Linked DNA regions of Drosophila melanogaster. Changing the gene in region 3 together with the main gene of any one other region gives a genetic interaction. Each region holds a gene or a part of one and is shown on either strand. Other genes may lie near its edges.

Region 1 (5,843 bases), on a different chromosome or scaffold from region 3:
TTTCGCACACTTTGCAGGCATTTTAATGCACAGACGACCGAGAAAAAAATAAAATAAGAGCCGATGCTCAAAGCTCACTTCTTGGAATTTCGATTTACAATTTAGCTCTTCACTTTTTGCTGGTCCTGTGATTTTTTTTGTTCGTTATGCTGTTTTTGAGGTCCCCCGCTATTGTTGTGCCCCATTCCCATTTCCATTCACATTGTTGCTGCAATTTCTTTCTCCGCAGCCTATTCTCATTCTTTATCAAATTTACCCACTCACACACGCACACACACGTGTGTGAGTGTGCTTTTGCATACGCTTTTGATTCCGCTTCCTCCGCTTTGCCCTTTTTCTGGAGCCCGGCGATATCACGGTGGTATTATCTGAAATCCATAATTGCGAGGCTATAATTGGAATGAATAAAAGCATAAAAACTGGATAAGAATTTGGTAAGTAAAAATGAAAATAGCAGAACAACTCGAGCTAGAAACTACTTTTAAATAGTAGTAGTAAGTTCACAGATTTACCTCTAGTATATGTATTTTGCCACACTGTGCGCTCGGATCGCTATGAATGAGATTGGTTCTGAGCTTTTTCCTTCCCTATGCGCTTTTTTAACTTGTTCAAAACCACTTTATGATTTCTGCGTCCTTCTCGTCGTTTTGTGCTGGTTGTTTTCCATAAAGATGATCCTCTCGGCTCTTCCTGCAGCAACAACAAAAGCTGGCCAAAGGAATTCAGCGGAATGAAACCGTAGCTCATTTGGTTGGTGGCTTCGGCTGTGGTTGGTCCCGAAATCATTTACTTTCGCCTGCTCTTCAAGCGGTGTGAATGATATGGCCTGGTTGCACTGGCCTGTCCTTCATTTGTTTGCCGCGAACCTTACAAAAACACACTCGAACTGCACAGCACAGCCCATGGGTGTTCGCAAACCCCCAACCCTCCTTAGTGAACCCCTCGGATCCTCCAGAATGACTCCCGCAGGGCATCGGCGCATATGTAACTCGATTTTTGCTTTAACTTTGCCGCGATTGCACACAAACGAGGGGCTACAGTGGAGCTTCGGCGTGGGCAACTAGTCTGAGCTTCACATTATCGATTATTGGTCATATCGCATGGTTGACATCATGATTTTCCACGTGTTTGCTACTGTTAGTAGTAGTTTATCTAGCTTAAGATCTGTGTTTGTACGGATTCTCATTAAAGACACACGGTCCATCGTGTAGAGTGCTACCTGTGAATGGATCTCTGTGGCTGGAAGCTTTGCTCATTTAACGACATTGGCGTCTACGTCTGCAGAACACAAAGGAGCCACGCCCCCTCCACGACCGCCCATCCCGCCGGTGCGGCGATCATATGACTGCGGCCACTACCTGCTGATATGTAGTTTTCAGGGAGGGGTTACAAGGGGGGACAGGGGGCAGCAGGAATGCGTGGATCTCACATTATTACCTGCAAACGACACAATCGATGCCGCCTTGAAATTCTGCTTAAAGATTCGCGCAGTTCTTCAGCGTTTCCTCTTCGCTTCTTGGGGCTCCACACTATTTTCACATGTGTTCGGTTCGGAGCCTCCTCGGCTCCACTTCGGCTCCAATTGTGGCGACTTCGGATCCCCTTCGGCGGTACGCGTCGCGGTATAAAAGCTCGCGCGCCAAAATCAGTGGCCTCCATAGAGCTGGCGACCACCAAGGCGCCAGATTCTCCTCGTTTCTCGGGACATTGGTATTCGGTGCGGGATTTTGCGATAGGGGAAGTGCAGGGGAAAGGATTCTACCTGTTGCCGGCACTCTTGTGCTCCACATGAGCAGAGATTTCCAAAACTGAGTCCATATGATCCTGATTCTCCCATTTTCCCAGTTTTCCTTTTCGCATCGCACATGGCTCTGGCCCCGTCCCCGTTATGTGTGTTGGTGTCGCTCGTTGCCCGTCTCCCTTCCTCTTCTATTGGCACTTCTGGGAAGGATAGGAAGGAAAGGATAGGATGGGAAGGCAAAGGAAAGGAGCTGAGAACTAAGAGCTAAAGAGCGAAGCAGAGAGAACAAAAAACGCGCGCCATCTCGCTCGCGCCCATTAGCTCATCAGCTGATCGTGATCGGCCGGGGTGCGGTTATAAAAACCAGCTGCTCGGCATATTCAGCACATTCGTTCTCAGTTCGTCGTCGAGTCAACAGCTCTTCTTGTTCAGCCTTTCGGTTCCTCGTTCGGTGAATTGAGATTGTGCGGTTCAAATTATTGAAGAAAAAGAAAAACCTCGCACAACCACACTCCGAAATACAAAACAAAAAATCATGCTCAAACGGACACATTAACAAAAAAAAAAAACAAAAAAACCTAAATTAACTAAAATGCAATACTAGCCAAAAACCAAGGACTACCATCTCAAATTCTAAAAACAAACTGTAAATGAGTGCAGAGTGACCAAGAACAAATTGTGTTTTAGCAATTTCTTCGGCTTCAGACTCGCCAGCGAAATCAAACATCTTCGGCTCTTCGAAGCAACCAACGCAACACATAACACAACAAAACCAACAAAATGCTGTGGGAAACTATTGTGGAGGAAAACAACTGCAGCATGGATTGCAATATCAGGTAATTATGCCGCCCAAGGATTAGCAACAGCAAACCCCTTTTGCACCAGGAATACCAGTTGAAAATACGCGATAAAAAGTGCAAGTTCAAGAGCAACAGCAACAACAGCAAAGCAAAAAAAAAATACAAAAAACAGAAATGTAAACGATGGGGCCAACAAAAGTAAGAGTTCTTTTTATCACGCTCGGCACGTTTGCTTTTTGCCCGATTTTTATTTTGGCGCTCAGCTGTTGTTTTGTTGCTCGCTTGCCGTTTTTCATTCATTAAACCGGCTTCCGCGAGGCTCCAAAAAAAAGCAGCAGCAAAAAATGCTTTTTGTCCGTCGTCCGTCAGTCAGTCATTTTTTTTTTTTCGATTTTTGTTCCTTTTTTCCTCCGTGTTCTTTGCGGTTCTTTGTGGCGTGTTTTTGTTGTATTATCGCTGCGCTTGCGTGACGTGTGACCCAAAAGCAAAAGTCAAGCTGAAAAGCAGATGCATGCGAAAAGCAAAAGGGAATTCCATTTGGAGAACCGCTAATGCTTAAGTAGAATCAAGAAGAAGAAGATAAGGCGGTACGCAACGGTTCCCTCGCAATTTTAGGGAATTGTAAAAATTATCAAAAAAAAAAAAAATGGTATCAATGATATCGTGTGCGCAAGTCGAATCCCAAAAATTCCAGTTTTCGAAGCTGCATTAAAGTAAATTTCTAGTTCAGCTCCCTCTTCACCCAATTACAACAACCCCTCTCTGTATTTTCTCGGGTATTTTTGTTGTTTTTACACCACCAACGCCACCACCACCACCAGTTTGTCAGTATTTTTAGCTGGGTTTAATGACCCGCTCTTGCGAGAGTTTAGGGAAGCAAAAGCAGCTCTCTTCCTCGATGCCGAACAGTTGACTAATCCTCCCCCTCTCTTTGTTTGCTCTTGCAGTAATAACACCAGCAGTTCGAGTAGCATCAACAAAATGAGTGGATCTCGTCGTGCTCGCCGTTCCCTGGAACTGATGAGCATGGACCAGGAGGAGCTGTCGTTCTACGACGACGACGTTGTGCCCCAGGATCAGCAGCGATCGGCCAGTCCGGAGCTGATGGGTCTGCTCTCGCCGGAGGGCTCGCCCCAGCGCTTCCAGATCGTCCGCCAGCCGAAAATTCTGCCAGCTATGGGAGTATCAAGTGATCACACGCCGGCGCGCAGCTTCCGCATCTTCAACAGCCTGTCCTCCACATGCTCCATGGAGTCCTCCATGGACGATGAGTACATGGAGCTCTTCGAGATGGAGTCGCAGAGCCAACAGACCGCCCTGGGCTTCCCCAGTGGCCTAAACTCGCTGATCAGCGGCCAGATCAAGGAGCAGCCTGCTGCCAAATCGCCAGCGGGTCTGTCCATGCGCCGCCCTTCGGTCAGAAGGTGCCTCAGCATGACGGAGAGCAACACCAACAGCACCACCACCCCACCACCAAAGACCCCAGAGACTGCCCGGGATTGCTTCAAGCGCCCGGAACCGCCAGCATCGGCCAACTGCTCGCCCATCCAGAGCAAACGCCATCGCTGCGCCGCCGTTGAGAAGGAGAACTGCCCCGCACCCAGCCCACTCAGCCAGGTCACGATTAGCCACCCCCCTCCACTGAGGAAGTGCATGTCCCTGAACGACGCCGAGATCATGTCCGCCCTGGCCCGCTCCGAGAACCGCAACGAGCCCGAGCTAATCGGCGACTTCAGCAAAGCCTATGCCCTGCCCCTGATGGAGGGTCGTCATCGGGATCTGAAGAGCATCTCCAGCGAAACAGTGGCTCGCCTGCTTAAGGGCGAGTTCAGCGATAAGGTGGCCAGCTACCGCATCATCGACTGCCGCTACCCCTACGAATTCGAGGGCGGCCACATCGAGGGAGCCAAGAACCTGTACACCACCGAGCAGATCCTCGATGAGTTCCTCACCGTCCAACAGACTGAGCTGCAGCAGCAGCAGAACGCCGAATCGGGACACAAGCGCAACATCATTATCTTCCACTGCGAATTCTCCTCGGAGCGTGGACCGAAAATGTCCCGCTTCCTGCGTAATCTGGATCGCGAGAGGAATACCAACGCCTATCCGGCGTTGCACTATCCCGAGATCTATCTGCTGCACAACGGCTACAAGGAGTTCTTCGAGTCGCACGTTGAGCTGTGCGAACCACATGCCTACCGCACCATGCTGGATCCCGCCTACAACGAGGCCTATCGCCACTTTCGCGCCAAGTCCAAGTCCTGGAACGGCGATGGCCTGGGCGGTGCCACCGGGCGGCTAAAGAAGTCGCGCTCGCGACTGATGCTGTAGGTTGTGGGATGATCGTGCAGTTCGTTATCTAAGTTTGGGTGTTATCGTATTGTATATATAGACGTATAGGGGTATTTATTTCATGCTGCTTTTAAGTTGATTTTTGTTGATTTTCATTTGTTAATCCGTAGACTAAGTTTCTCGCACACGACGCAGACACACACCCGACACTCGCATTCATGCAAAACAGACAATTTCATTTGGAATTTAACGCTTTTGTTTAGTTATTATTGTTTTTATGGTTTCGGCTTTAGTTCAATTATTTAAGCACTCTAGTTCAAATTTTAAAGATAACCAACGAACAAGCAAACGAAAAATGTGCATTATAATCTAAAAACGTGAGGAACCATGTCATTTAAATTTAAGAGGCCGATCCCGAAATCAGACCCCTTAATCATTTGTAGATGATAAGCAGAACAAAAAATGGCTAAAAACAAAAAAAAAAAAAGAAAACAAATATCACACAAAAACAAACACGCTCATTAATTTCATCCATAAAACTTTATTTATAAGATCTATCGTTTAAGAGTTGAAAGTTGTAAACTTCTGCTAGGTACAATTTACGCTTATTATTTGTTTATTTTTATGTAATCCGTAACCGAACAACAAGGCACCGAAACGCAAATGCAAACAAGAAAACAAATATTTTACCATGTAATGATTATTATTTAAGCAAAGCTTATTTTTGCATCAAAAAAGGCAATATTATTGAACAAAGACCATCAATTTTAAATATACATTAATACACGACGAAAAAGAACTGAAATTCCTGGAATTTTTATCATTCAAATGGCGCCAAATGCGCATTATGTGCGGGATTTCGGTACTCTATGGGTTTTCACAGAATTAACAACTTGAAATTGGCGCGCAAAGCGAGTAGTTGCACTTTGTAAATGTCAGAGGGCGCTGTGTCCGTAAAAAATTGAGTATAACAGCGGCGACTTTTTGGCAGACTGTTATACGAAAATTTG
Region 2 (4,833 bases), on a different chromosome or scaffold from region 3:
TAAGTTAAACCCGAACTGCCGCCCATACGCCACGCCCATATCTTGGCCATGCTAATCCGAGCCCTGGTCTACGTCAAGGACTATTCTGAGGCGGGCAGAGCTTTGAAGGAGCTGACCGTGAAGGACAGCACGTGGAGTGCCTCGGGACTCTTGGATCGCAGCATCGTTCACAAAATTGCGCAGGAGTGCCACTTGGAGTTCGATCTCATCTGGAATGCGGGACGCCAGGTGACCGCCTCCACAAGCGGTACGGCCGCCACTGGAATGAGCAGCACTTCTGGGATGACGACTACTGATGATGACGACGCCGATGACGAGGAGATCACCGAGGAGCTGCATTAGATGATTCAATTAATAGGCGATGCAGCACCTAGTCACGTCCCAGTTCCGCAGAGCGGATAACAAGTAAATAGGCAAAAGAGTTCCCTTTAAATTGGATAAGCAATGGCTACAATGGAATGTTTCAACCAGCAGATACTAAGTTATGCTAAGATATTAAGTATTAATGATCATAAACGAAAGTATATACAATGACAGAAATCGTGGAAAGCATCTTAAAGTTCTCAATCAAAACGAACAAGTTACGTATTTGTATAACTTGTATTTGTATTTCACAAGACTGCTTAAATTTCTGCTTATATTGTATACAAATCCCTTGCTTGGGCCATTTGGAATTTTATGAATGAACTTCACGATGTACGCAAGCCTAGTAAAAGCTTTCGGTGCTGAAACATACATATGTATATGTATGTAGGTATATGACTTGGATGTGAGTTCAAGTGACCGACGTCACATCAAAGCAAATATAAACAGCGATACGGATTCGGATCGGCGGATCTGCCGGCGCCAGTCGGAAAGCAAAAGAGAGCGGCCATCCGTGAATCACTTGCCCAAAAGCGTCCGCGTCCTCAGCTATGTATGAAATCAGAGGCATTTCCAGGAAGCCAGCGAAACTCGGAACAATCGAAAGAGCAATCAGTTGGCGAACTGATATAAACTAAATCGAAAACGTCACCGACGTCAAGCAATTGGATATTTAGATCCCAAATATAATTACCATATATGGATATGGAATGGTTTAGTTTTATAAATACTGACCCTTAACTGGAACTTGTCACGAAGTAAAATGCGCACAAGGATGAACTGCGGATAGGAGGCTTGTAGAGAAAACCATGTATCACTCGATTATGACATAACTATTTATTATTTATATTTATATCTTCTATCTATATATATCTTATATCATTCTGGGAGCGACCTTTTGCCAAATATCGGAACAGAGATAAACTGATATTCCAAGTAGGCATGGCATGGACCACAGACAACTAACGACTCATGCCCGATTTCCCAGAAGAATGACGCGGCAAAGGCAACAAGACAACAAATCCAAATAGGAGGGGAATCGATGAATGAATGAATTTTCGTTGGCCCCCAAACGACCTTCCACCCGAGCCACCCCCTGTGGCCCACACACAAGGCTGGGGAACTCCGTCGGCTTCCCGCCGATCGACGATCGCTGTGCTCAATGGACGGGTGACTCATACGGACTAGGCCAGTTTCACGACGTCATGCTTAAGGTTGTTATTTGCTTTGCGAGCGAGCGATAAGTGGGCACTGCGGAGAGCGAAAGCTCGCGAGCCGAGTGGCAAACGCCGCCGGCAAACTGGTCCCGAGCAGCCAGTGCCCCTCGAAGTCAGCCGGTTGGTCATGGGGCAGCCGAGTCGGCGAGAGAGCGCCAAGTGGAAAGCTCATGGGAGCCGACTTCGTCATGGCTTTATCACTGTTCGCCGGCGCTGATCATTAGTTCGTCACTCGCCAAGTGGGTCGGATCAGGGCCAGAGCGATCGAAGATCGGCGATCTGGAGTGGAATACGGCGCTACTCTTAACCCGATCGGCGGATCTGTAATCGGTCGATGCAATAACGGTTATTAAACGTTTCCAATCGCAAACTTTCCGCGAAAGATTTCCGCGATTTGCGGCACGTGGAAAGCCTGCCGCTGACTCCACTTGTCCGGTCAGCAGGTGAAATACCCTGACTATCTCGGGTGAATCATCCAGCCAGACGAACACACATCCTAAATCCGTTTCAACCGGTTGCAGGCTACCAATAAACGCAATAATGCGAAAGTGTGATTCCTAGAATATTATGATTAAACAGGGCCAAAGTGAAGTGAATATTCTAGTAGTGCAAAAGGGCGCCAAAAACATAAACAATAAAGTGTAATTAAGTGCACTTACCAAAAATCAAGCTGGTATAATGAAATCTTAGTGAAAATCAAACAATAAGCAAATATAGATTAGATGAATTTATATGCCAACCGAATAATGTCAAAGAAAAGTGAAACGGTAAAGCTACCAAAAGTCTTTAGCTAATAGCTGATATTGCACTTTCGAAGTGGGAGCAGGAACATCCCAGCTTAATGGCCATTCTACAGAATAGCCGCCAGAGCCACAAGCAACTCCCAATCATCAGCCAGACGATTCGCAGTGCTTGGTGCCAACAGAGGCCGATTAATGCCATGCATCAGGATGTCCGGCAAAAAAGCATCGGATCCGGAAACGAGACCAAACTGGAAGCGAAGGAGACGGAAGTTCCCACCAACAGAAGAAGACGCAGAAGGCGTTGCAGCAGTAGCTCCACCAGCGACTCAAGCGCATCCTCATATTCCTCAACAGACTCGGATTCCGGGTCCTCCACCAGCAGCAGTAGCATAAGAAGCCAATTACCCGCCCTCAACTTGCCAGTGCCCCTCCCGCTGGCGACACCCACTCCGCCCGCCGTTTCATCGCCTCACCAGGCGCCATCTCCTCGAAGGAACTCCAGCGACTCCAACCGGAGCGTCTCTCCCGTGGAGGTGCCCGTGGATCCGCACGCTTGGACGCCCGAGGACATTGCCAGCTGGGTGAGATGGGCGACGCGCAAGTTCAAACTGGACCCGGAGCCGGATATCGACAGGTTTCCCAAGGATGCCCAGGAGCTGTGCGATCTGTCTCGCGCGGACTTCTGGGTCTGTGCAGGATCAAGGCGCGGAGGCATGCTCCTGGCGCAGCACTTCGCGATCAGCTTATACCACGCCACCGGACGGGAGACGAGTCCGATGCTCAACGACGACGAACCAAGTGAGTGCCTAAGATAGAGCTTATTTGAAGAGGGATTTCAAATCCTAGCCTATGTCCTCTTATGGCTTAGTCTTTGAATTCCTATTTCTGAAGTGCCAACCCTTCCAGAATCGAGTAAAACTACTTAAACGGAGCCACATTTTTCTCACTGTCCCAAGCTAATCTCGGGCCACATAAATCTGCAGAGTCCAGAGATTGAACTGCTTGGTAATTGGGTTCACGTGCTATTCCCAGCGGAGCGATTGTCCGACTCTCGAATCCTTTGTGGTCAGGCATCAATTGAATCCTTTTGCCTCCGTCGCCGGCCAAATGGCCACTGATTAAGATGCCTTCGTGCTGATACGGCTGTAACTTATGTGCTCCATTGATTGTTTCTCCCACACTTCTCCGGATGTCTTGATAAGGAGGAAAAGTGGCCGAAGGTGCGGGAAATCCCCTTTTAATTACCTTTCGCTCGAGTTGGCCAACTTTCTCCGAGACTCCATTAACGTAAGTCGTTGGGAAAATCTCTGCGCGACAGCAGCAAAGTATGCAACACTTTTCCAGTTATTAACTGGCGATGACTGCCAACGCAAAGGCGATGGGCGTTGGGGGGGGATGGGGGGGGGGCGTGTCAGGGCCTTGTGGGTGGTCGCGTCAAGTGATGAACTTAATAATAAACGATGTAAATATGATAATTTCTCGCAGGATGTGGCATCTAATAATAAAATCAAAATAATCCCACGCCAGCGACAAAAGTCGCCGAGTCAAGTTTCAGCTTGGCGGAAAAAGTGGGCTGAAGGTCGGGTGGTTTGGATGGCTTGGATAGCTGAGATGGGTTGGGTGGTTTGTCCGTGACAACAGCTCTGCGGGTGGTCAGCTTTTGGGCACAGGAAAATATTCATTCGTCGCATCCTTCCTGTGGCAGGAAGAGCAAGTGCAGGGCGGGCAAAGCCCCCTGATTCGGGTCTGGCATATGCTGGTGGATGGGTGTTCCATGGACTACACATACATGCCTTGATCCCGGGAGCAGGCGACGTCGATTTAATTGATTTGTTTTTTATGCCAACCAGGATTACGCGTCGTCGCCGTCACGCAGATTACATTTGTTGTGGGCTACGGTTGTGGCTCCCATGTCTGAGTCACCGCCCCCTTTACAGGGTACAAACTGGATCAAAGCCATTCCCTGTTCACAATGCCACAGCCACCAATAGTACGTACCTTGAGGAACATACCAATGAAACCATTAGTCATATGATTTCCCAAAAACTCGGATATATTTCCCCACGCAAACAGAATACTTTTCTGGTTCCATCATCCATCGGACGCGCCCCTGCCACCTTATAATATATCCAGCCACTCGCAACTGGGTATGCATTAGTCGAAACGCTGCAAAAGAACAAGTTGCTTATCGTGTGCGAAGGGGTGGGTGCTGGTTGAGTGGCTGCACGTGGCCTCTGACTTTGCGACTTCCCTGGCAAATGCCGAAGCGGCATTTACCACCAGCTGCGCAGGTGAGCCGTAATCGTGCCCGGAGCTTCGACTGCTTCGCGGATGCCCATGCTCCCATCCAAGATGCCAGATGCCAGGCATCCGTCCGGTGCTAAGGAGCGAAATCCGGCCAGCGCTTCTGGCTAAAGTTTCAGTCGGCGAATGGCTCTCGTCCTAAACGGTTGACGCGCTCCCGGCATAGACCTTCATTGATGGTCATAGAACAATCCAATCGGGTCAAA
Region 3 (5,786 bases):
ATAAGTTCGTAAAACTATTTCACATCAGATAGACTCAAGTGTAGTAAATATTATAGTAATGAACCCAATGTGTGGTTTTTTTTAATCAACCCTTTTTGATACGTTCATATTTCTTATTTCAGAATGAATACATCGTAAAAAAATAATTTTAAGTAAGAACAGCGCCTATCATAGCTTCAAAAAAACAGGGCTTGTGTGCAGTAATCAGCAACGAATATTATAGATAAAAACTTATGCGTCACTCCAAAGTTAAAAGCAAATAAATTGGTAAGCATGATAAGTTCACAACGACTCTTATTGATCGATTTCCAATATTTCAAAAAGCACAACGAATACACATGTTTTGTAAGAATTGAAAATAAAAATAGTTCCATTGCACATGTAAATGATGTCAAAATTGTCAAACAAAATAGAAAAACGTAACAAAACAAATTGATTTGGTTCGGAAAATAAAGATTACTATATTCAAAATAGGCAGCATTTAGGTGATATTTATTTGTATGCAATAATGGAATTTAAGGAATGGAAATTTAAGAAAGCTGAAAAAGTAAACATTAAATTGTTTGTCAACAAAATATGGTCAAAATCTCTTTAAATCCTAAAATATGTACAAATATTTTCGTATGGTAATTAGGACGTGACGATTTAAATAAATGCTTGCGAACAAAATATGGTTACAGCTCGGTAAATACATATTTACCAAATGTCCACAAATATTAACGTATGGTAATGTGACAATTTACGGACTTTCGTAAATTCCAAGTTTCTTTTGGAAAGCTGTAGATTTGCAGTTCTTATGCGGAGAACATTCCCCCAAAGTCGGAGTAAGAGAAAATGGCCGGAGAATTGATATTCAATATAGGAATTGGCATTTAAAAAACCCCCACATCCACACACACGCACATTCATGCACACACACACCCACATGCCCGCACGGCGCACACACGCGAGGGGTTTGCGCACACGTACGCATGCACATGCAAGCGTGTGTGTGTGTGTGTCCGAGTGCATAATTGAGAAATGAGTGTTCGGCGTGTCTTCAATTCGATTTTAATTCGGTGTAATTTGATCAAAGACTCACCTTCTTCGCACAAATTCGCGGAGAAGAGGCCCACAAAGAGGCACAAGATTAGGAATTTCGCCTGCCGATTCATTGTGGTCGTTAAACGCTGAGTACTCGAACGACAAAGTCAGCAAATCTGCAAGGCAAAGAAAATACGTTTGCGAAGTGGTTGGGGATTAACAGATACCGCTGGAGTCAGTATTGCACAACTGGCGATGTCGCCGAGCTCCGATTTCGCTCACCCACAAATTAAAGCAAGGCGCAATTAAGGAATGAATAACACGACACGAAGACCAGATTCTTTTATGCCAACTCGATACTTCGATGCATCCCGATACATCGACAGCTGAGCCGTGCTCTGCAGCCCTGGCACTCGGCGCTTATCAGTAGGGGGAGACCGTAATGTAGTTGAAACGCCTCGCATTTGGTGCAATATAAAATTATGATCATAAATTTGTCCTTATATTTTACTTGATTTATTACTATAAAATTGTATACCCACCTAGCAATTTATTTGAAATATTTGTAGGTTAAATCTATATAAACATAAGTAATTTTTCACAGCTAAATCTTTCTTGATAACGCAATAACTCATTAATTTAATTTGATCGACTTAAATGTACCATTTATATTATTTTATTTTAGTGAGTATATAGTAGTAGTACAGTATAAATATGAAGTTTTTATAATTATTTATCAAATTAGAGAGTGCCTCTGTTCCAAGTGTAGAATTCAGGTGTGTTGGGGGAATACCCCTAATAAAATTGCTGTATCATCATTATATCTTGTTGCTGCAGAGCGAAGAAGACGTCAGTGTCAGTTTAATTCCGTAATCCAAGAAACGGTAACACTTCACACTTGGTGATTCAGAATTAGTAGATATTTCTTGTCTGTTTATGGCCCCTGTGAAGACAGGACTCGAATTAGCGTAAAGGAACGACCAGGAGAGCACCAAGATGACCTCGTACGTGCGTGCCATGTACGACTTTACCGGGGAGCCGGGCTCCTCGGAGCTCTCCATCGCGACTGGCGACGTGCTCTCGGTGACCCGGAGCGATGTGGGTGAAGGCTGGTGGGAGGGCAAGAATGCCCGTGGCCAGATTGGCCTCTTCCCGGCTGCGTACGTGGAGGTGATGTCGGCGGCCGAAGCCCAGAAGCTGAGCGCCAGTGGAGCGACGTCGGTGCCACAGGTTCCGGATCCCTTCGCCTCGCCCCCTTTGCCGCGTTACGATCAGACGGCGGATGATGATGGCAGCAACTGGGATGATGAGGACGATTGGAGCGACGACAATGACACGTACTCGGAAATTGGTCCAGGTGGCCAGAAGTCTGCGGGACAGTCGGCTCGCGCTGGCGGATTGTCGCATTCCACCAGTGACTACGATAACAAACACCTGCCCATCGCGCCCAACGATGATACCCAATCACTGGCCTCCGTGGCTGGTGGGACTGGTGCTGCTGGCACCGTCAAAAAGGGCATGTTCGCCAAAAGTTCCGATTCATATATACTCGGCTTGTCCAGCACCAAGGAGAAGATACCCGAATGCGAGATGGCCTACATTACACAGGTGGAGGACTCGATCTACCAGTGGACGCAGAACCATTCGCCCTACTCCGTTGTGGTGGCCAGTCCCAAAAAGGAGTCCAAATTCAAGGGGATGAAGACGTTCATTGCCTACCAACTGACGCCTAGCTTCAACAACATATCCGTAAGTTGGCCAACCCTGATATCGCCGTGATTAACAACACAATACGATAAAGCTCCGACCGTTGGCGCATGAGTGTGTAACTACGGGTGCAATATTTTGTTGATAATATGTGTCTGTGCTGTGTTCGCTACCCTCTGCCAAGGGTAATTTGGGCTGGTTCATGTGCTCACGAGCAGATGGAATGGAATAAAGAAAGACCAATCCTTTGTTTATCGAAACTCCGCACTAATTGCCGGCCAACATTTTCCAACTGAGTTGACCTTAAAAGTGACCCTTTTTTGCTGAGAAAATTTAAATGGAGATCATATCCATTTCTTTAATTGGTTTGTTTTATTAAGACTCTGAAAATTGGCTAAATTTATCTTTTTATTTGTTAAAGTTTTAATACTATTCAAAGCTATAGTTCATTTCTTATTAGCTACTTAAATAGTATTTTGATAATTTCGATCAACTTTATTCATTACAATAATGAGAAGCATAAATGCTCGACATTACTTTCGAACTGAAATCAAAGCTCTTTGTAAAGTTCTTTCAGTCCATTAAAATACACATACAAATAGGTAGAGCATTACAGAGTCGTAAAAGCACTTAAAATTCTTCTTTGTGGGGGCAATTCTGACCAACTGGTAGCCAGCGGCACTGCGATGATTGCTTGTGCTTGCGAACCGCCACGGGGAATGACTCAGCAACGAGCTCTGACCCCCCGAGCTCCGGGCTCCTCTTTGCGTGACCCAATCACAATTAATTGGTCATATCTAATCTGGGTTTCCCTTTCGTTAGGTGTCACGTCGCTACAAGCACTTCGACTGGCTGCACGAACGTTTGGTGGACAAGTTTTGCCTGATTCCGGTGCCACCGCTGCCGGACAAGCAGATCTCCGGCCGCTATGAGGAGCAATTCGTGGAGCATCGACGTGTGCAGCTGCAGGAGTTCGTCGACTGGGTGTGCCGCCATCCGGTGATCTCCAAATGCGAGGTCTGGTACCATTTCCTCACTTGCCGCGACGAGAAGATCTGGAAGTCGGGCAAACGCAAGGCGGAACGGGATCCCTACATGGGCGTCAACTACTGCCTGGCCATCTCGCCGCCGGACAAGAACCTGCTGCACTCTAAGGTGGACGCACAGGTGGAGCTGGGCACCCAGTTCATACACAGCATGGACGTGGCAGTACGCAACCTGAACAATATATCCAACGACATGGCCAAGCGCTCCATGTCGCAGAGTAAAAAGGAGTTCCAGCGCATTGGCGACGGACTCTCCGACCTGGCCAAGGCATTGGCCATCGATGAGCGGCGTGCGCCCACCCGAAACGCGGTTCCGCTCTCCGAGAGCGTCGGCCGCATCGGTGGCATCTTTATCGGTATTGGACAGGCCTTTGGCGACCAGCCAAAGCATGATTGGATTCCCCTCTCGGATCGACTTCACATCTACAGGTGGGTTGACGTCTCTATAAGTGATGGGAAGCATAGCACATTTCGTTTCATTCATCAGTAATTGATTAGCTGACTGAAAATGGGAATTCCACGACATGTGTCATTTCTATACTAGAAGTTACAATAGGCACATACATATATGGCTGAATTACTCACAATTAAAAATTTTCGATAGATTACTTTCTTGTAAATTGTTTTTAAGGTATCAAGTTTATTTATAAAGAACTCAAATTGTTTACTTTTAAGCAATGAATCAATGTATAGTTTCGCGAGAAAAATCGATTGTTGGCCAATAGTTTATTTTAGATTATTGTGGTTCTTACGCTGACTGACCTTTAGTTTAACAAGAAATATATACATAGATATACATATGTATAATATATATATAACTTCTAGAGAATGTGGTAACTTTCCGTCGCTATTTGTTTATAGAACGATCTAGAAGCATTATCTAATTCTTACTTTCACTTTTCCAAATAGGGGCGTTCTCAACTGCTTTCCGGACATCTTCTCCACGCACAAGGGTGCCATACAGAAGCGAAAGGACTGCGAGAAATTGGCCGGCGAGGGCAGGATGAATAATCCCCAGTTGCACGACGTTAACCGGCGCACAGATGTCGTCTCCTACACGGTGCTGGCCGAGCTGACCCACTTCAAGAGCGAGCGGGATACGCATTTGAAGCATACGCTTAAGAATTTCATTGCCGAACAGATTAAGTTTTACCAGGGCGTGGTGGCGCGCCTGCAGGAGGCCAGCCGTCAGATTGAGTAGATTGGCCCTTGGCCCATGGCGACGACGACTCATCGCTGAAGAGATCGACGGCTGGGAGCACAAAGAAACCGCACCGGGCACACACTTCCACACAGAGATACATAGCTGAAAACATTCGCACGCGCGCATTTCAAATGCCTTCGAAAGGAACTCTTACTTTAAGCGTGGTTCTAACTAAATGTTAAACAGAAAAAATATTACATAATGTTGTTTGTAAGTGAAAAGTTGCGTATTTATACAGAAATTAACTTTTATATGCCTATTATACACTGAACTTGAGATGCAAATATAACTATATTTATACAGAACCACTTGTGCAAGTGCATCATCTGCATCATAATCATCATATTTGGATGATCCAACCAAACCCGCTGAATTAAAAGTCTCGGTGGCGATTTGCTATTCTGTTGCCTTTATCAGCGAAATTCTCTAAAAGGGTTCTCTTTATTTTTCCATTTTCATGTTCATGCTTTTGCTTTGCCATTTTCGCGTTAATAAGTTTTGTGATTCTTGTGTTTGTTTGGTTTTTTTGTTTTTTTTTTTTGTATCTAGAACATAAGTGTTAGATTGCACATGTTAGGGATGATGATTTCATAAATAATCAGCGTAATAACTAGTAAAAACAAAAAGAAACACATTTCGGAATGGATACAAAATCGGTTGTTTGCCTTTTAGCGCTGCGCTTTGTTTTCGTTTGATTTTTGGCGAGGTCATAGGTGAAGGTGAAGGGTCCAAGGATTGTCCTGGCATTTTTGGAGGATAGTCGGATGTGGGTTTCCAGGGATGGGAATCGGGTTGTGGGGGGATCA
Region 4 (3,894 bases), on a different chromosome or scaffold from region 3:
AAGACGATCAAGGTGTACGGATTTGGGAGCAATAAGGACCAGGCCAAGCTATCGGCTGCCAAGCACGCCCTTCAGCAGCTAAGCAAATGCGACGCCTAATATGATGATTCCAGCCCAGTCTAGTTTCTGCTAAACTGCATTGAATTTGCTTTCTAGCCAAGACGTAATCCTTTGGAAGAGGACAGCAAAGGGCACCTAATGAACTTAACTGTATATCTTAGAATTAAAAAATACTTTTCCATCGCTTTAATAGACATAAATGTCTAAAACCAAAAAATCATTTTTGATCACCATAAATTGTTAAGACCTTTTAAATCAAAACAAAAACAGCCCATTTGGAAACACAATCTAAAGATGCTATGCCAATTTCCTCAAATACAAACGGTTTTTAATTATTTTTTTATCAATTATTGCCATTTAAAATGTTTTAGCTTCATTGTTATTAATAAAATTTAATAGCTTCCCCAATACAATATTTGTTACCTTGGGTCGAAATAAATATTTTTATACAATTGAATTTATCAATGGGCGTTTTTATTTACCGCGTGCATGCTTCAATGGGATTTACAATCGGCGACGTCGTCAACGGCGTATCGCTACTTATTTACATTAAAAATGCCGAGTGTATTCTGTTCATCCTCTAGATCAGATCCATGTGCTTATAGCCATACATCATTTGTTGCTCGAGGGCTCTAGTGCTTCACGAATTACAAATTATAGTAAGTAACATTTGGGGTTAACCCGAAATCATAGGTTTTCAAAGTGGTAATTGGTTATGTTAAAAAACAAATCGATTAGCATTATGCTTACAATTGGAATGATTAATCTAGCAAGACAAAATACATACTAAAAAAGTGGACACACACAAGTACACAATACAACTAAGGGGTAATCCGAATGCGCATTCCGGTTTGAGATTAAATGGAAATAAATCAGCACAACTTATGCGACTTAAACGCGACAGGTGCAATCCGGCTTATTGATGCTGCGCTGTCGTGTCTGTAAGTTACGGAGAGCAGCTCCGCCGTACTGAATACCGCTGCCGATGCGCTCGGGATCCAGCTCTCCGGTCTCAATTTTGGCCAGTATGGTCTTTGAGCACTTGAGAAAGGCCTCTTCAACATTCTCCCCCGTCTTGGCGCTCGTCTCCAGGAAGATAAGCTCTGCAACGACAAACAGACGTAGAATTACGATAGGAAATTTATGGAGAATCCTAAAAAACAGACCGTTCTCTTGGGCAAAGGTGCTTGCTTCCAGAAAGGTCACATCACGCGCCTCCTCCAAGTCCTTTTTATTGCCCACCAAAAGGATCACAATATTTGGGCTGGCCAGAGTGCGAGCATCATTCAGCCAGTTTGTCAAAGCATTGAAAGAGTCCCGCGAAGTGGCATCGTAGACCAGGAGAGCTCCGGCTGCTCCGCGATAGTACGATCTTGTCACCGATCGGAATCTCTCCTGACCGGCTGTGTCCCATATCTGTAGCTTTACCGACTTGCCGCCCACGTTCACAATCCGCGAGCCGAACTCCACTCCGATGGTGTGCGAACTGTCGTCTTTGACTTTGATGGTACATCAAAATGTATAAAATGCATTAGGCGTGTACCATTTTCAGGCTACCACCAAACTTACACTTGCTCTCGATGAAGTGATGCAACAGACAACTCTTACCGCTGCCAGCACTGCCAATTATCAGGAACTTGAACAGGTAATCTAGGTGAGCGCCGAGCACCGATATTAATTAGTAAAATGCATTAATTAATTAAATGTGTGCTGACAAACCGTATGTTTCCGACATTGTTTTTGTTCGTCTTCTGCGTAGTTGTCTTCTTTGTTTGTTTTGGTTTTTCGGCCAGACTTCAGGACTATCGGATTGCTGGTGCGTATGGGCACCAGGAAGTGCGCAGGACACGATCAAAACCCGCAATATCCGTCGATAAGTAAGCGTTTAAACAATTAGAAAGCCAAAAATTACCTTAAAATCTTTGACTGGACTCACTTCAGTGAGAAGGTTCGCTACAAACGCGAAAATACCAACAAGGGGTGGGTGTGACCAGGTGGTTCAAAATATGATTCATATTGCAATTAAGTTTTTGTTTACTTTTAAAATATTTCCAAATATATGAAAATTGCCGAAAGCTACAAAGAAAAAACAAAATATGAAATGCAGCCCACAAAGGTTTATTGTCTTTTTTCAAAAACCCTCTTCTATTCATCACACAATTTGCATACATACATATATGCAATAAAAGTATAAAAGATGGTGGGCCCTGGTAATCCAACCCGGCACATAGTCTACGTATCCTTTTGCTTCTCTGGTTCGTAGTCTTGATAGCAATTAATGGGATCCTTGGCCGTATAAACTGAGTATGCCAATTTGCTGCCCTTGAAGTTCTGTAAACTCAGGGCAGAAAGGGAAAATTACTTAAAATTAACCATTCTGATAAGCACTATCTGCCGTACCTTCATATCGCCAGATATCAGAGTCCAAAGGAAAACGAACACCGCCGGTATCACAGTGGACAGGACAAACAGCTCGAATGTGTTAAGCTCCCCAAAAACGGATATTTTCATTTTAATTTCGTAATTTTTGATGAGTTCTTTGCGAATATTAGTTTTTGTTGATGACTAGTTGTTGTTCTCACGTAGGCCGCACAGTGTTGTCACACCTTGCTTTTAAAGTTTTACGCTATCCTACGGTCACACTGTAGTGGTATTATTTAGGACATTTGAAACTATTGCGTTCATTGCGAACATTTTGGTGCGTGTGAAAAGTTATTAAATCAACAAAAATGGCTTTCCGCATACCTTTTGGCAAGAAGCACGCTGAGATAGCGAGTTCCTTGTAAGTATATGCTGTCGTGCTTGATTCTGCATCATGAATTCATTAGTGTTCCCGCTCTTTTACTGCTACCAAAGCACACATTGCATAACCCCATCCAGAGAACTAAACTAGTTTCTTTTAATTCGTAGCATCCGATCTGGAGCCGGATTCGGAGGAGCTGCTGGCCTGGCCGTGCTTTACTACACCGACTGGAAGCTGGTCCTACAGTACGTGCCCATCTACGGATCCAAGTTCGAAAAAAGCGAGTAACCTTGCCTGCCGTAGTTGAATCCACAGTTAGCCTCGATGTTTTGCTTGGTGAATAAAATAAGTTAAAACGACCAAAGGGTATTACTGAGTATCGTATATTACAAATAACTTTGTAGAGGGCACAAGGATCGGTTAGATTATTTCTCTAGCTAACTAATCGCTAAGGCTTAAGTAACTGTTCCCTAAGTCTTACATGGCTAGCCTATTTTGATCAAGCATTGTATAAAAAAGTACAACGGCGAGCTGCCCATTCGATTGGAAGAGTACAAAACGGTTTCTTTTTTGAAAAGAGAAATATGAGATTGCGTATTTGGAAGCCCGAATAGACCGACGATTGAATCCTTTTAGACAAGTAATTTGGAATTTCGCTTAATAAATTCTAGTTTGAACCATAACTTTCCTAACAATCCGGTTCAACAAAGGAGGCGGGGAACAGCCCGGTTTTGTGGGTACGGGCATGGGTGCCCTTATACCAGCCGTTCTTCTGCTTCCGCTGGACGTAGATAATGTCGCCCAAATGTAGCTCTAGTTCAATGTCACTGTTTGGTGGATACGGCACAATGCAGCGGAATCGACTACGATAAAAGGTTGCATTAGTAAATCTCTAAGCTCACAATAATGTATTGCAAAACCCACCTTTCCCTCGTGCAGTAAGGAGACTTAGTGGTGGCGCTGGCCTTAATGGCCGCCTCCGTGATCATATTGCTGCTGGGACTCAGCACATGACTCGCATCTAGGCTGTGCGACTTCCGATGGCTGGGTGCAATAATCATATTGGCATGCAACTGGGATTGCGCTCCACC

What was found.
Region 1: of SH3PX1 (region 3) and stg, changing one suppresses a phenotype caused by changing the other (phenotypic suppression), as found in Drosophila melanogaster (one study listed by BioGRID).
Region 2: of SH3PX1 (region 3) and Ets21C, changing one suppresses a phenotype caused by changing the other (phenotypic suppression), as found in Drosophila melanogaster (one study listed by BioGRID).
Region 4: of SH3PX1 (region 3) and Rab4, changing one enhances a phenotype caused by changing the other (phenotypic enhancement), as found in Drosophila melanogaster (one study listed by BioGRID).

What each region holds. Positions count from the first base shown.
Region 1 is NT_033777.3:29,251,607-29,257,449, reverse strand, and holds stg (string), read left to right. Parts: upstream 1-1,649; 5' UTR 1,650-2,521; coding exon 2,522-2,577; intron 2,578-3,488; coding exon 3,489-4,872; 3' UTR 4,873-5,307; downstream 5,308-5,843. Other genes in the region: CG45544 (uncharacterized protein), read right to left, coding at 553-786. UniProt on the Drosophila melanogaster protein: This protein functions as a dosage-dependent inducer in mitotic control. It is a tyrosine protein phosphatase required for progression of the cell cycle. It may directly dephosphorylate Cdk1 and activate the Cdk1 activity.
Region 2 is NT_033779.5:549,446-554,278, reverse strand, and holds the start of Ets21C (Ets at 21C), read left to right. Parts: upstream 1-1,824; 5' UTR 1,825-2,421; coding exon 2,422-3,121; intron 3,122-4,776; exon of another isoform or gene 4,777-4,833. Other genes in the region: rempA (reduced mechanoreceptor potential A), read left to right, coding at 5-342.
Region 3 is NT_037436.4:9,709,919-9,715,704, reverse strand, and holds SH3PX1 (SH3 and PX domain containing 1), read left to right. Parts: upstream 1-1,877; 5' UTR 1,878-2,019; coding exon 2,020-2,772; intron 2,773-3,552; coding exon 3,553-4,205; intron 4,206-4,685; coding exon 4,686-4,977; 3' UTR 4,978-5,283; downstream 5,284-5,786. Other genes in the region: vsg (visgun), read right to left, coding at 1,082-1,154.
Region 4 is NT_033778.4:17,571,600-17,575,493, reverse strand, and holds Rab4 (Rab4), read right to left. Parts: upstream 2,033-3,894; 5' UTR 1,796-2,032; coding exon 1,780-1,795; intron 1,711-1,779; coding exon 1,630-1,710; intron 1,560-1,629; coding exon 1,227-1,559; intron 1,164-1,226; coding exon 952-1,163; 3' UTR 515-951; downstream 1-514. Other genes in the region: Dcr-2 (Dicer-2), read left to right, coding at 1-99; CG42239 (uncharacterized protein), read right to left, coding at 2,293-2,391, 2,461-2,571; UQCR-6.4 (Ubiquinol-cytochrome c reductase 6.4 kDa subunit), read left to right, coding at 2,790-2,842, 2,971-3,091; POSH (plenty of SH3s), read right to left, coding at 3,492-3,666, 3,728-3,894.